Rattus norvegicus: one gene and its partners. The main gene of each other region encodes a partner of the protein of the gene in region 3 in a complex. Links are inferred from orthologs where the notes say so. Each region holds a gene or a part of one and is shown on either strand. Other genes may lie near its edges.

Region 1 (4,731 bases), about 9.3 Mb from region 3:
GTGAGGAGGAGAAGTGTCCTGTCCCCTGACAACCTTAGCCCCATCAGTATCAGACTGTATCCCTCACCTTGGGCAGGCGGGCATAACGACCTGTCCTTGTGTCCCTGATGGAGCTGATGTCCAGTGTGTCCACCTCCTGGGAAAACCAGAGCCAAGGTTTGTGTCTAAGAAATATGAGGGGTCTTCCCACTCACGCTGTGGAATGCCAACCCCCTGGCTAGGCCTTACCCCCAGGACAAGGGCAGGGGTCACCCCTAGAGGCCTAGGCCTGAGCCGGCAGCACCAACACCACTCTCACCATGTTGGGTCCTGTCCAGTACAAGAAGAAGCCATTGGGGTCCACTCGCAGGGTCACCAGGTTCCGACTGGAGGCCTCCTGAGGGCAGTACAAGACAAGGGTCAGGGGAGTGAGAGCTGGACCTACGGTAGCTGGTTTCTGCCAGTGAGCTAAGAGGACGCTCCGCCGACACACAGGTGCTCCTGGAGACGAAGACAAGTCGTCAGCGTGACATTTCAGGTTCAGTCTCTAACATGTCTCCCAGCTTCACCTTTACCCTGAGATTCTATCCCATAGGCTACTACCCTGTCTCTAACACCCAGCTTTTGCCACACCCTACCCTGTACTTTCACTTTTTCTCTACCTTGAAACTGCTGTGGAGGTCTCCAGGAGCCCATTCTAGCTTTGGCTTCCCAACAAGGCCTGAGAGGTCAAGAATGCTAGAATCCTCTGCCTCCGATCCCTTATTATTCCTGTATGAGAGCAGAGGGCTTAGAAGCCTGGAGCTAAAGTTCTCTCTGTCCTTGAGGCCTCACAGTATCTGGCCACCCTAAGATCTTTCTCAAAGCTTATCACCCATCACACTGTACCTCGTGGGATCCTTATAGCCTCTAGGCTCACCCATCTTATAGAAAAGGTCCCTCAGGAAGACTAGGCAGGGGGTTCACTCTTCTCCCTAACAACCCTATGGTGACTGACAGGAAGGCAGGATATGAGGAAAAGGCTCACTTTCTTTGTTTTTTGTTTTTTGTTTTTGTTTTTGTTTTTGTTTTTCGGAGCTGGGGACCGAACCCAGGGCCTTGTGCTTGCTGGGCAAGCGCTCTACCACTGAGCTAAATCCCCAACCTCAAGGCTCACTTTCTAAAAAGGACCCAGTCACTGATGCCCAAGGCTACCCCACGGAGCCCAAGACTCAGGACCAGCAAGGACTTCACTCAAGTCAATCTTACTCTTACTCTCCCTTGAGCCAAAAGAGGATTGAAATCCCCAAACTCTGGCTCTAGACAACCCTGCCACCAACAGTATACACTCCAGGTCCCACAGCCCCAACTGTGAGCCACAGCGAATTCTACACCCTGAATTTCACCCCCCTTCATGTTCCTCAACGCCGTGTAGGATGTGTCCTGCATCACCCTCATTTTACACAGGAGGAAACTGAGGAGTCGGGATCTCCAGGGGTACACTTGTAAAGTCCTGGCACGTGGCAAACAGAGAGAGCCAAGACCCCTCTGGACCACCCCTGGCTCCTGATCTCAGCATCAACCTCATAGCAGAGACCTCAGTTTGTCTCTTGGGAGAATAGGGGTTGCCCCACCCATGCAGTCTTGGTTTACAAAAGAACAGCAGCTGATCTGGGGACATTCATAATCCTTCAACTCTAACCAGGTCCCAACCTCTCCAGGAGATTCAGAACCTTGCCCTGGGCCTGACTAACCAGCCACCAGTAGTACAAGAAAGGGAGAAATTTGTGGGTACTGTCCCTAAAGCCGCTGTGGTACCATCCTCAGGGTCCTAACCTCCAAAGGCTACCCAGGACTCTGGCTCTGCAGTTCCAAACTTTGCTCGGCACCCCCACCCCACCCCAGGCCCTCTCCTTGTTCCCACTTCCTTATTTGGGTTTATCACACTGCAAGGAAAAGGAGAAATTTTTCCCTTTAGGCTGGCCTGGGGGAAGGGGTCTTCTGGGGACCCAGGGGTACCCACCCTTGCCCAGCACACCTGCAGCTAAGGCCACGCCCCCAGCCCCTCCCCTTAGTTCCCACTCCTGCCCCACCCAGCCGGAAAGAAACCTAGCCCTAGCGTCTTCCAGGCCTATGGCCCGACTGGGAAGGAACAGTAAGGAAGCTCAGGCCGCTGAGTTGAGGCCCTAGGGAGCGAGGGGCCCAGGGGGCAGGGGAGAGAACAGTACAGAAACCAGAAACGTGGGTAAGACGTGATATCTGGATAAGAAGCCGCAGGTGGGTATCAGGAAAGTACCAGGGAGAAAGTAGTAAAAAATGGGGAGGGCAGGATTTATTGGGGTTCAAAGTCACTAAATTAAGGAGTGGGGAGCAAAGTTCCCAGAGTTGGAGGGACCTGGAAAGGGACAAAGTCTACGGTAAGGGGTAACTTGGCGCTCCCATCTGAACAGAAAGCTCGCTGGAACCCAGAAACAGGATGAAGGGGTACCAACCAGGACAGGCTGAAATGTGATGAATAGAATAGCTCAGGCGATGCACTGCTAAGAGTAGGATCCCAGTGGCACCCCACCCAAGACAAGGATGCCCTATACCCCCTGGGAGCCCAGTGCCAGGCACAAGGATCTGAGGACAAGACCAGAAACTGAGAACCAGCATGGAGACTGATATTCATCGTCTGGCAAGGGTGGGAAAGAGTAAGAAGAGGGACAGGATTTATTGAGGTTCAAAGTCTCCATGCCAAGGAGTGGAGAACCCAACTGACCACAGCTAAAGGATTGGTTTGCGGGTCGGTGAGGGGAACGACGACGACAAAGTCTTCAATTACCAGGACAACAGTGGGACTCAAGTTTCCGGAGTGCAGCAAGGCTGGAATAGGGGTGCAGTGGTCAGGCTACACTGAAGTGGGGGTCCCTGGCATCTAGCCGAATGTGACTGAAGGAATCCTTCGATCAGGGCAGAGTAGGGGACAGCCACTCTCTTACCTCGTCCCATTTGATGAATTTACTCCCGCGCCGCAGGGTCTCCACCACGGTGGGCGGCTCCAGCTGCAGCGCGTGGACGCCGGGCCTCGCGCCCGCCATGGCCAAGCCAGGGGCGGCTCGGGGACCTATGGAACCCCGACGGGAACGGACGGTGCCACTGCTTTCTCCACACGCTCCCGCGCGGCCCGCTCTGGCCCCGCGGCGTCAGCGCCCGCCCGCCAGCCAGTCTGTCCCGGACGGACGGGAGACTCGGCGCCCGGCCCCGCCCCCGCCGAGCCCCGCCCCGTCGGGCGGTGCCGCCCCCTCCCACCGCGGAGGGGTCGCCCGACCCGCGGCGGCGCCCCCTGGCGGTCGGGGCGGCGACTGCAGCCAAAGGGATGATAGAGCGGAATTGGGGGGGGGGGGGGTCTTTGTTGGCCGGCTCAGTAGGTCTCAAGTTTTCCGGAGTCTTAGATAAAGTAGGAGAGCTTGGGAGCCCGGGGCTATTGAGGGTGCACCTGGAAAGACGGGTGTTCGAACTACCGAAGACATGCCAAGGTCAGCTAGTTGAGGACTCCAGGTGGAAAAGGCGAAGATAATAAGGCTGGGGGACACAGACCCCTGTCCCCAACCCACTCCTACCGCACTTAGCTGAACTCAGGAAATATCACCGCATCTCTCTCCATCCCACTCCACCCGCGTGCCCTCACTTCGCCTCACCCCCTGCTGCTGCAGAGCAGTCCCCCCCCCCACCTCCCAGGGAGCACTTAGCTGGCTAATGGGCCTCCCGCCGGCAGGCGCCCCTCCCCCGTCCCTAGCCCTGGAGGCCTGGAGCTGCCACCTCCTTTGAGGACCCAGGCATCCTGGTTTTCCAGAGAAAACCTTGCCGCAGTTCTTGGCGCTGCTGACCCTGAGATGGGAGCCAGCCTCAGTGAGCCTCGTAGCAGAAAACCGCACAGTGAAGGATGGTTGTTTGCCCAGAGGGGGCAGAAGCCTCGTGGGTGTCCCCAAAGGAGGGGTTGTGCAGCTCCTGGCCCATAGCAGGTGCCCTGAAATCTGTGTTCCAGCGATCGGAGGAACGGAAGGGGCAGACACATGGGCACCAGCCGGGGTGGGGGCTGCAGCCCCTCCCGCAGGGCTTGGCCGGGGGGGGGCTCCTGCCTGGGGGCCCCTGTGGGAGCCCCCCCAATACAGAGGAGGCAGCAGCAGCAGGTTTAAAGTAGAACTCATCCAGAGGGGCCAGCCAAGTCACCTAGAAACCCAGAAAGAGTTGGAGCTGGCTCTGGGGGAGGAGGGTCAGCTAAGGAGGAGCTTCCCTGCCGGCGTCTTTGCCCCAGGCTCTCAGCCTCAAGAGGAGCCCTGACTGGCACTGGCTGTTCTCCAAATCGCCATCATAATGGCGGCAAACTTAATGAATCTAGTTGTCTTTGGCTGTGGCCTTGTGCAGTGGTATGATTATTATCTCCACTTGAGGCCCAGAGAGGGGAAGTGACTTGCCCAAGGTCACACAGCTTCCTGAGAGGATTTCACCCATCATTCTGACTTCCTGCCCCTGCTCCCTACTCTGTAGGAGAAAAAAAGGGGGGAGAAAGGTACAGGCCTATGATCCTCCTCCTCCTCCTCCTCCTCCTCCTCTTCCTCCTTCTCCTCTTCTTCCTCTTCCTCCTTTTCCTCTCTCTCCTCTTCCTCTTCTTTCACAAGAGCTATTTAAAAAAAATACCCCTTCAGAGCTCCAAGTACCACCAATCTTCTCCAGAGAACAGAACCATTAAGGGTAGAAATTGGCCTCTGTACCCACAGGCTTGCTTTCAAA
Region 2 (4,808 bases), on a different chromosome or scaffold from region 3:
AGACGCAAAGATTAAATAGCACAAAAATCATCCTTCCTCCTTGACCTAGTCCACAGGAACAGGAGAATTAGAAAAGACGCAGCTTCTTCAACTGGTAAGCCACTGTTCTTAGCACCACTGTCCGTACTCAAAACCAAGCCCTGTGGAAGATGCTTATTTATGCGCACTGGCCACGCCCTGCCCACCTCAACTCTATAGCTTCCCAGCTGTTCCATCCCCGGTACAGACATCTCCACATGCTCCAGTCTCATCCGTAAATTGGGAATAGCAAATGCTCCTGGGAGTGACACTTGAAGTCCAAATCCTAATTCAAACATCATAAAGAGTATTAGTACAACCTGATTGAGAACCTGATTGAGGACTCTCTCTCTCTCTCTCTCTCTCTCTCTCTCTCTCTCTCTCTCTCTCGGCTGCTAGGTTGAATTGTGCTGTCTGGCCCAAGCAACCATATTATTGAGATTCGCTGGGTGATTTCTCCCTTTATGTCTGGTAAACACTATCTCATATCAAGCATCATGGGCCTCTGACTCTTACAATCTTCCTTCCCCATCCTTCATGATTTCCCATGAGCCTTCGGTGCAGTGCTTGTGTTGCTGATGCGTCAGTTGGCGGTAGGGTGTCCCACAGTCCCTTGTTTTTCTGTATCTTGTAACAAATTGTCTCTATCTGTTGAAAAAAAAAAGAAACCTGCCTTTTTAAAGAAGAACTACATTTATCTGTAGAAACATGGCAGCCATGAGTTCTCCTCTCAAGTCTATGACTTCTCTAAACACAAGTAGTTAGGCTTACAGTACCAGGCGTGGATTCATCCCTATTGAGGGAGTCTTAAGTTTACTTAGACAATTGGTGTTTATCCCCATGATAAATGTACCCTTATTGCACCACTGTGGATGCCTTGCTGAAACACTCATTGTTGCGGTTCATAGGAATAAACACAATCTGTTCTAAGAAAACTGGGAGGCACTGAAGTTTCCATGTCTGCGTTATAACGGCGTAGTATACCATTAAGCCACACTACCTTAACTTCTTTAACCTTTTTCCTATTGGTAGGTTTGGTGTTATTTGCTTCTTGCTTTTATCTTGGTGTGTGTGTGTGTGTGTGTGTGTGTGTGTGTGTGTGTGTGTGTGTGTGTGTGTTGGCTATCAAATTGCTTACACAAAGGAATTAGTAGGCTTTAAGGCTGAAAAGCAAATGTTGGGCTTCTACCAAATAAATTGATTTTCCACTTCACTCAAGTATCATGATGAGTGGCAGGTGCTGTGCCAGAGCCCGAGAACAACTATGAGCCAAGCTGGGCTCTCCTGCCTTCAAGAAACACACCCTGATGCTGGGGCATGGCTTACCAGATCTCTGGGACAGTGGAGGGAGGGAGCTGTTTGTGCACAGACCGCAGACACAACGCTGGAGTCCAGCAGAACGCCTGAGAGTGTTTATTATACTGTGAGTTCTGGATCTTCATTAGGAAAAAAGTGCCCCATCCTCTGGCACGGTTGCCTTGTGATCCCCTTTTCATCTCCAGGGAGGAGCGGGAAGTGTGAGTGTATGGGGAGGTATCCTCCCGACCAACAGCAGGAGCAGGAGCGGGAGCCTGGGAATGGCTAGAGCCTCATCGCAGGCAGGAGGACTCCAGCGCTGGACCTTTGTCTCCCAGGTACCAAACCCGACCCGGCAGGTGGCCTGGGGGAGGGACGTCGCGCCCGCAGCGCCCGGCTCCGAAGCGCACAGCTCAAAGGCTGACCTGAGAGATCTAGGGAGCCCGGGACTCTCCAGGCCGGCTCAGGCACCGGACTGTAGGTGTATTTGGAGGGATTTGGAGGCTGGAGACCCCAGGAAGCACGCAGGCGGGAGCAGGCAAGGGGCGGAGCCCCGGGCCCGGCCAAGGTGGCCGTCAGAGGGTCTGCGGGGAGGCAGTAGCTTGACCCAAGGCGACCAGGGAACTTCAGACGGTAGCACGCCACTCAAACAAATTAACTTGACATCGCAAGCTGGGCGGGCTGGTACGACATCCTGACTTCAGCATCCAGCTGTTCCTGGGCAGACAGAGGGCCAACAGGTGTTCCTGTGGAAGAAGCCAGGACAAGGACTCCAGGTAGGGCTTGGGGACACCAGAAGGGCGGGCACAATGAACCCTAGTAGAAGTAGCAAGAGGGGGCAGAGGTCTGGGGGCAGGGAGCAGTAGCAGCTCAGACCTGGGATTCCTGAATATTGGCTTCAGGGACAGCGGGGTCGGATGCTTACGAGGATGAATAGAGTTCACGCTAAAACAAGGCTGTGGGATGTGTCTTGTGCCTGTGACACAGTCAAAGAGAACATTTCCCAGTGTGAAGGAGAAAGGTAGATGATTTCTGGAGCGTGGTGTGTGTGTGTGTGTGTGTGTGTGTGTGTGTGTGTGTGTGTGTTACCAGCTGCCTGCCTACCCAAGGTGCTTGCCTCAGTGGCACCAAATTAGGGTGTGTGGTTACCAGCCTCCATATTCCTTGAAGGTTAAAAAAAAAGTACGTTGATGGAGTTATTGTTTCGACATTGTAGTTTTCAGTCGATGATATGCACTTTAAACTAGGAAACGACACCAATGCATGTCTGGAGACCAGCTTCATTTCTAACACGAGTTTACTCATTGTGCTAGCTCTCTTCTGTCCTGATTCTTTCACCTCCCACCTTCCTGCTCAAGGAACATACCAGAAAAGTATGATGTCCCCCTCACTCTCCTCATTACCCGCCTCGCTCCATCTCTAGTATTCTTCCTCAGAATACTGGGGCAAAGGGAGCCAGCTCAGGGGAAGACTGAAGGCCTTGCCTTCCAGAGACTGGCAAAGAGGCATGTTGGGGTAGCGCCCCTGACAAGTTCCCACCTGTTCTCGGGGATGTCTCAGCACAGTAAAGTGATGCAGTACACTGTTGAGGGAGGATGAGGAGGGCTGTCTCCCCAAACTCTCTGCCACCCCAGAATTCATTCCCTCTCCCATCTGAACTCCAGGTCCCCAAAGTGGCATGCTTGGGGTTTTCCCCCTAGAGGACCTGGAAAAGTGAGTTTTAAATTGGCCCTGTGATAGGCAGAGGGAAGAGAAGACACAAAGGAAGACATGGAGGAGATCGGAAAACAGTGAGGGAGCAGCAGACCAACATCTTTGAGAGGAGAGGAATCCTAGGCCAGGCCCTGTCATTCAGGAGCTGACCCTGAGTTCTTCTTAGGGAAGACACATGTGGTGTTCATGCCGACAACTCACGTCACTCACTCTTTTCCAGGATCAACAAATCAAACCATGTTTGTAGGTCAAGACCGAGCAATTGGTCGTGTTTTTCATTGAATGAGAGGTTCTTTAGAAGCTGTATGAACTGTTTAGAGTAACCTCAATCTACATATACCAGTGTCCCTTATTTTCTTCATTTTTCCTTCATATGCTGCCATTCTGAACTGGATCCTGCCAAGTTCAGGCACCAGCTGCTCCCTCTTCTGCAGATCTAAGGATGATATTGTAACTAGAGAATGAATCGGGATGGGTGCAAGTGCGGGTGGGTTGATGCGTATGACTTATAAACAGAGGAATGGTTGGATAAAATGTGAAAAACATCAGTATTCACTTAACGTGTTTGTAGAGCCTAGCTACACACGAGTTCCTGGGAACAAGATGGTAAATAAGACAAGGTTCCCCCTTCCCTGTGCTTACAGATGCTTGGGGGAGGGCAGCTGTCAGTAAAATGATTATCGACTATGTGATTGCAAGCTAAAATAAACCTTCTAAGGGAAAGACACTAAGTCCTCCACGGGTGTACATAGATGAGACTGTGAGACCGGGAAAGTCTTTCTCAAACAGTCCACTGCTAGGGTTCTAGGCTAATCAGGATGTTAAAGAAATCTGATTTTTGAGGTGAGGTCAGACTGTTTCAGTTAGGAATAGTATTTGGCTGCTGGTCACCTAACAGACCTGGTGCTACGGAGGGCCCCTTGACGTGTGCCCACGTGCAGTTGGTGTTACTGGCTTGAGGGGAAAGAGTGTCTTGTCATCATAGGCTGGGTGTGTTGTCCATTGGCCGTGGTTTTCCATTGCTATAATTCTTGCTTTTAAATTAAATGTCCAGATTAACTTAATTCCTATGATTTCATTTTATTGTGTACCATAAAATGTATACTGCGGTATAAATGTGAATCATCCACTTTCCCTCTGAGAAGGTAAATACGGAGATAAGGCTCACGCTGCCTATGTGGTGACAGTTCAGTGCTATCACTGAACAGCGTCCCAGGTAAAATAGCTGTGGCAGGTGGACTGCAAAGATTGCCCCTCTATCCCTGGCTGCTGCTCTCATTGGAAGGATGTGTCTCCTCTACACACACACACACACACACACACACACACACACACACACACAGGAAACTAATTCCTAGCCTTGTACACTCAAAGCTCCAACTCTGTCCTGAGCCACAAGCCCAGCTTGTATTGTTCAGAAGAGAGCGGTATTTAAAGATTTAGTGTTTTAGATACTATAAATTTTCATAATTGGCTTCTTAGTACGGACAGGTATATTATATCGACAATTGCAGTGATGCTGTAAAATGAATAAAAATCTCACAACATAAGGTCACAGCACAGAGCCTCTAGAAAACAATGTGCTTCACATTCATCCAGCACAAACTTTCATTCATTGAGCATTGCTTGCAGTAAACTTTCTATGTGCATGGAACTCTGCTAACCATTGTGGGTAAGATGGATTAGAAAGCCACAGTCCCAGCATTTAAGGAGCCCATCCCTCCTCTCAGGGATAGAACTTAGGTACACAGAGAGTATTTTGTTTGCCAGGTGGAGGTATC
Region 3 (4,998 bases):
ATACAGACTTCAAGTCCACAACTCCATCTGAGTCCTGACATAGAGGATGGGTGTGTGTGTATGTGTGTGTGTGTGTGTGTGCGCGCGCGCGCGGGCGCGCGGTGCATCAAAGAAGTAGAGAATAAGGCAAAGCAGAGGGGAGACCTTGGAGTCTAAGACTTGTTTCACTCCTAATTTGTAGCAATGATTATGACCTTACATTGCAGCCTAGATCAATAGGGGCAGTTCATGGAAAGCACAACATGGGGAGGGCTCCACTTCTACCTGCAAAGGCAGGGAGAATAGTATGAATCTCCCCCTTGATGTTTAAGACACATTGAATCGAATGAACATTTTTTCCCCCCAAATAACCTTGAGTGATCAAGACTTTTTCTATTTATTAGTAAACCATCTCAAATTAGAAGTGTAAAAACCAAGTAGAATTTTGCTCCAATGGTACTAGTTTCTCCACTTTTTCCTATTTTATTCTCTCCCCTCCCCCTTTTCTTTGATACAATGTTTCATACTGCTCAGGAAGCAATTCTCCTGCCTCAGCCTGTCGAGTGTGGAGTTTATGACACACCATATCCGTCTCTTTCATTTCATTCTGTACTATTTGGAGATCTCCCAGAAATCATCCTTAACTGTCACGGTGTAGAAGGGTCAAGCTCATAATATCAGACTTTTTAACATAGTGTGCTGGTAGGGAAACAGAAATCACCTTAGTGACCGGAAAAGTTGGAACAGATCAGGAGGCTCTTGGAAACTTGGGTTTTTCTCTTCAGGATTCAGATTCCTATCTGGAGATACTGAGGACAGTTCCGTCCACAGATCTCTTGGTAACCCCCAGCGAGCCGGTGACAATCCTTTCTCTTTCCTAGTAAAGAGTATCCCATTTTCTAAGACAGATCTGGAGTCAGAGGCCACTTGAGGCAGTTTTTCCGGAATGGCGTTTTAGAAATAGGAAAGGGCAGCAGGGCTGTAGAGAGGCCTGGGGTGCAGCGCGTGGGCACCCATCAGGGCTCCCGCCGCGCCAGCGGCCGGAGGGCAGGCCGAGGACGCCATATTCTCGCCGACCACGCCCCGGCGGCCCGCGGCAGCCAAAGGACTGTGTTCGCCGGCCGGCCGGCCCCGCTTGAGCGGCCGTGACCGCTGCTCCCGGGCTCGCGCAGAGGGAAGCGGCGGGCGAGCCAGGCCGGCAGTCGGGGGCGGGGCGAGGAGAGCGCGAGCTGTCCAGGAGGGGCCTCGGCCCCGCCCCTTGCGCTGCGCCCGCCCCCTGCGCCCGCCCTCCTCCCGCCGCCGCCTCCCTCCCGGATCTGTGCTCCAGTTCAGAGAAAGGAGAAAATGTGTGTGTGTGGCGAGGGGGAGGGCGAGCACTGAGCAGCCGCGGCGCGCCTGGCAATCGGGCCGGGTGGGCGTCCGGCGGAGGCGGGGGCGGAGGCGGGGAGCGCGCGGCGGCCGGCTGCCCGGTTTGCGCGCGAGCCGAGTGGGCGCGGGCAGGCCGAGGGCGCCCGGAGCCGAGTCAGGCGGCGGCGAGGAGCGGGCGCGCCGGGCGCGCGGAGCCGTCGGCGGTCGCTCGCTGCTGGGCCGCCTCGGTGGATGAGCTCGGGCCGCTGGGCGCACAGCTTAGGGCAGCATCGGCAGCGGCGCCTGGAGGGCCGCGCGCTCTCCAAGAAGGCGGCGTGTGAGCGCGGCCGGGCGCGGCGGCCTTTCCTCGCGCGTCCCAGGCCCCCGGCCCCGCTCGTCCCCGGCCCGCCTGGGCTACGGGCCCGGCCGCCGTCCTCACCGCGGCTCCCTGAGCTCGTCCCTGACGCGCGCCCGGGCGGCGGGACTCCGCGGCCGCCGCTGCCTCGGGGGAGCGAGGGCGGAGGGCGTGTGTGCGCGCGTGTGAGCAGGGCGCCGGCGGGGCTGCAGCGAGGCACTTCGGAAGAATGACTCTGGAGTCCATCATGGCGTGCTGCCTGAGCGAGGAGGCCAAGGAAGCCCGGAGGATCAACGACGAGATCGAGCGGCAGCTGCGCAGGGACAAGCGCGACGCCCGCCGGGAGCTCAAGCTGCTGCTGCTGGGTGAGTGCGGCCCTTGGGCCCTGGTGCCCCCCGCCCCGGCTCGCCGCTGCCCTCCCCGCGCGCGTTCCCGGTCGGCACCCGCACCCGCGCGCGCGCACACAGGGGCCGAGGGCCGGGGCTCCGGAGCTGCGGTGTGCGCCTTCGGTGTCAGCTAGGGCCGTGCTCTGTGCGCCGCGTCTGCGGGACGGCTGAGCGTCCGCGCGAGCGGCGCGGGTGGGCGATGGCGTGCAGTGCGGTGGCAGGCCAGCGTCCATTGTGGCGCGTTGTAGGGTGGAGAGGGAAGGGTGGAAACGGGGAGCAGACTAGGGTCTGGATTCAGCTAGGAAAGGTGCTGAGGAAGCCTTGGCTGGCGCTCCAAAGAAACCCGGGTTAACGTACTGGGCAGGGGCGGGGCGGGAAGACTAGCCCAAATGTGCTCCACTGTAGCCACCAGGCCACTGACAGGAGTGACCCCAGAGAGTTGCATGGGCAGTGGATGGTGACAGGCGTCTCTTCTGCACCATTCCTTCTGGATAAAGATGAAGGATCCGGGAGTGTTGTACTGTGTGGTTGTTGACAGCAGACGGCTATCTTTTGTTTAATGAGGCGACCCAGATGTATGCCTGAATTCACAGCAGTTTCTACTGGAAACCAGCACAGCCTCTCAGTTACTCTCCTGGAAACAAACAGAAACCTTTTGTTTAAAACGGACATTTTAGTATCTTGCCATCTGGGCTCCAAGAAAAACGGGAAGAGTTCGAGAAAATTTCCCTCAGATCTCTTTTTTTTTTTTTTTCTAAATGACAATCCAACATTCTGCTTTAACACGAAATTAAGAAGAAAATGCTATTTTCAAATAGGAATTATATTGATTATTATCTCTGAGAGGATGTTTGGAATCAAGCGATCAGGGTTCATGTACAAGCTAGCATGACATAACTATTGCTACTGTGGTAGGAAGCATGAACTGCTTTGCAGGAACAGGCCTGAAAAATGTCTGCACTTGTGTTTATTTGTATGAGTAAAAATAACGCTTCTCAAACATTTCTGTAAGAAGAGGATATTGCTTCGTTGGTTGGGATTTGAGAAGTCCCCCCTCCCCTCTTTCTTTTCTATCTGGAGCAGTCCATCTGCTGGCTCCAGGAACCCATTACCTTGGGGACCGAACTGCTTATGTACTGGATCACTTATAGTCAGGAGCAAAATATCACAATCACAAATGGCTACCAATGCTATTTCCTTCCCCAGCGTAGGTTTTTTTTTTATTGAAATCCAGTTAGGTAAATGTGCACATATAAAGTGTTCATACAGTACAGAAGGCAAGGAGCTGAATAAAAAGGTGGGTTTTAGGGGAATAAGGCAAGGGGAGTGGGGAAATTGGGTAAGTCTACCACCCTCATCATTTCTGTTTCTTCTCATGGCTGAAAATGGAATGCCTTATCTTTTTCTTTCTTTCTTTCTTTCTTTTTTTTTTTTTAAATTGAGAAGGGAAAAGCAAGGGCAAGTGGAATAAATATACGGTGTTCCAGTATACAATTAAGAGGGAAAACATGTGTTTTAGAGATTTTTCTCTTAGACCTGGCTTTTAATTTTCCTTTGTTTACAATCTTCATATGTTTGTGTTTAGCTAAGAACAGGGCATTTGAGGTCTAGTTAACCAAACTTATTTGCCTGAAATTTGACAGCTCGAGGTTTCCAGGCAGCCATGAGTTAGGTTTGTCAGAGGGCCTAGGTTTAAATGCCTGAGAGGGGGATACACTTATAGAGATACTTAATTACATGCTGTTTATTTTAATAATATGCTATGCTTTAAAAAAAATGAACATGGGAATGATTTCCTGAGGGGAAATCCCTCCAGTCCTACTGCTAAAAATGTGGTCAGTGTAAGTGTGTGGCGGCCCTCCCTCACTGATTATAGATTGAAGCAGGCTTTAAACATGGCCCCACCTCACCCATCAGAGACAGACTGGTGGAGGTGGTAGAAAATTTGCTGTTGATTCAGCACCTGCATTTATGAACAACATTTTTTAAAAAACCCATACAGTTCTCTGTCAGAAGTGGGAGCCCTGGGCATCATTAACAATCACGGCTGTTCTCAGTGTGGATAGGCTTCTTCCAAACGCAGTACCCACATTATTTGTGTAATCATGATAGACATTAAGTGTAAACGTCTCTGTGTGTATGAGTGTGAGATTAGCAGGGAAATGAGTGTTGAACAAGGGAGTGCTTGGGGGAGGGGCTCCTTCCTGGTCTGCTGCCTTGGGAGTAGTCTTCATTTCCTAGTTCTTTCGTTCATTTTACCAACATCTATCCAGAGGAGATTACAGAATGTATTTCATCACATTATTAGTACCTTTGAAGGCTTCTGTACATGGAGGGATCATGCTTCATGTTGAAGTTCTGTGTAAAATTGTTTTCAAATAAGTTTTAACTCAAGGTTGACACTCAAGGAAACTGTCCTGCAAGGGAGCAATGTATTATTTACTTATTAAAATATGGTGGTATCACAAAACCGGTTATCTGACGAGATAATCAAGTGTGCCAGTAAGGCTCTTTTGAGTCATTATCCAGTACTTACGCTAGTATGTGCCTCATTTATTCTACAGAGCTTACACATTTTGATCTCGTTCTACTTGAAGAATGATCTCTGACATTTTATCACAGTAAAGAGTTTCATTTTAACTTAGTAACTTCTGTCTTATTCTCTTTAGATCCTTCACATTAGCATTTGTTTCCTTTGACACCTCAAGGAAAGCTTTAAATTCTATATAGGATACAGTAGAAGGTATTTGATACTTAACACTTACTAGGTGTAAAAGTATATTATCTTGCCTTTAAAGTTGAACTATCATGACTATTCATTAGATATTTTTGTTGGTGGCACACAGATCACAGCACTTAATTGCTGATTTGTCTTTAAGTCTCTGAGGAGCAAATGGCTCTGAGTGTCTGCTTTAGTTTATAGATTCTCAC

What was found. The genes of interacting proteins can lie anywhere in the genome.
Region 1: the proteins of Gnaq (region 3) and Plcb3 are in contact, whole or in part, in a cryo-EM structure (PDB 8UQO), measured with the Homo sapiens proteins. The link is inferred for Rattus norvegicus from reciprocal best matches to the Homo sapiens genes GNAQ and PLCB3. Residues at the interface, in NP_002063.2 of Homo sapiens: Pro185, Thr186, Thr187, Ile189, Glu191, Pro193, Arg202, Gln209, Arg210, Ser211, Glu212, Arg213, Arg214, Lys215, Trp216, Ile217, His218, Val240, Glu241, Glu245, Glu249, Glu250, Ala253, Leu254, Arg256, Thr257, Ile258, Thr260, Tyr261; in NP_000923.1 of Homo sapiens: Pro257, Arg258, Leu259, Asn260, Glu261, Val262, Leu263, Arg707, Asp709, Lys710, Ile719, Asp721, Gly722, Ile723, Val724, Ala725, Ser845, Asp846, Tyr847, Ile848, Pro849, His852, Tyr855, Ala856, Ala858, Leu859, Ile860, Asn861, Pro862, Ile863.
Region 2: the proteins of Gnaq (region 3) and Casr are in contact, whole or in part, in a cryo-EM structure (PDB 8SZG), measured with the Homo sapiens proteins. The link is inferred for Rattus norvegicus from reciprocal best matches to the Homo sapiens genes GNAQ and CASR. Residues at the interface, in NP_002063.2 of Homo sapiens: His63, Leu196, Gln197, Ser198, Ile323, Tyr325, Ile337, Arg338, Phe339, Phe341, Ala342, Lys345, Asp346, Ile348, Leu349, Gln350, Leu351, Asn352, Leu353, Glu355, Tyr356, Leu358, Val359; in NP_000379.3 of Homo sapiens: Lys644, Ala645, Asn647, Arg701, Val702, Leu704, Val705, Phe706, Ala708, Lys709, Ile710, Pro711, Thr712, Phe714, Phe801, Arg873, Thr876, Ala877, His879, Ala880, Phe881, Val883, Ala884, Arg886, Ala887, Thr888, Leu889.

The regions. Positions count from the first base shown.
Region 1 is NC_086019.1:213,586,386-213,591,116, forward strand, and holds the start of Plcb3 (1-phosphatidylinositol 4,5-bisphosphate phosphodiesterase beta-3), read right to left. Parts: upstream 3,051-4,731; 5' UTR 3,039-3,050; coding exon 2,940-3,038; intron 377-2,939; coding exon 299-376; intron 137-298; coding exon 68-136; intron 1-67. UniProt on the Homo sapiens protein: Catalyzes the production of the second messenger molecules diacylglycerol (DAG) and inositol 1,4,5-trisphosphate (IP3).
Region 2 is NC_086029.1:77,738,856-77,743,663, forward strand, and holds the start of Casr (extracellular calcium-sensing receptor precursor), read left to right. Parts: upstream 1-1,758; 5' UTR 1,759-2,090; intron 2,091-4,808. UniProt on the Homo sapiens protein: G-protein-coupled receptor that senses changes in the extracellular concentration of calcium ions and plays a key role in maintaining calcium homeostasis.
Region 3 is NC_086019.1:222,850,638-222,855,635, forward strand, and holds the start of Gnaq (guanine nucleotide-binding protein G(q) subunit alpha), read left to right. Parts: upstream 1-1,815; 5' UTR 1,816-1,910; coding exon 1,911-2,046; intron 2,047-4,998.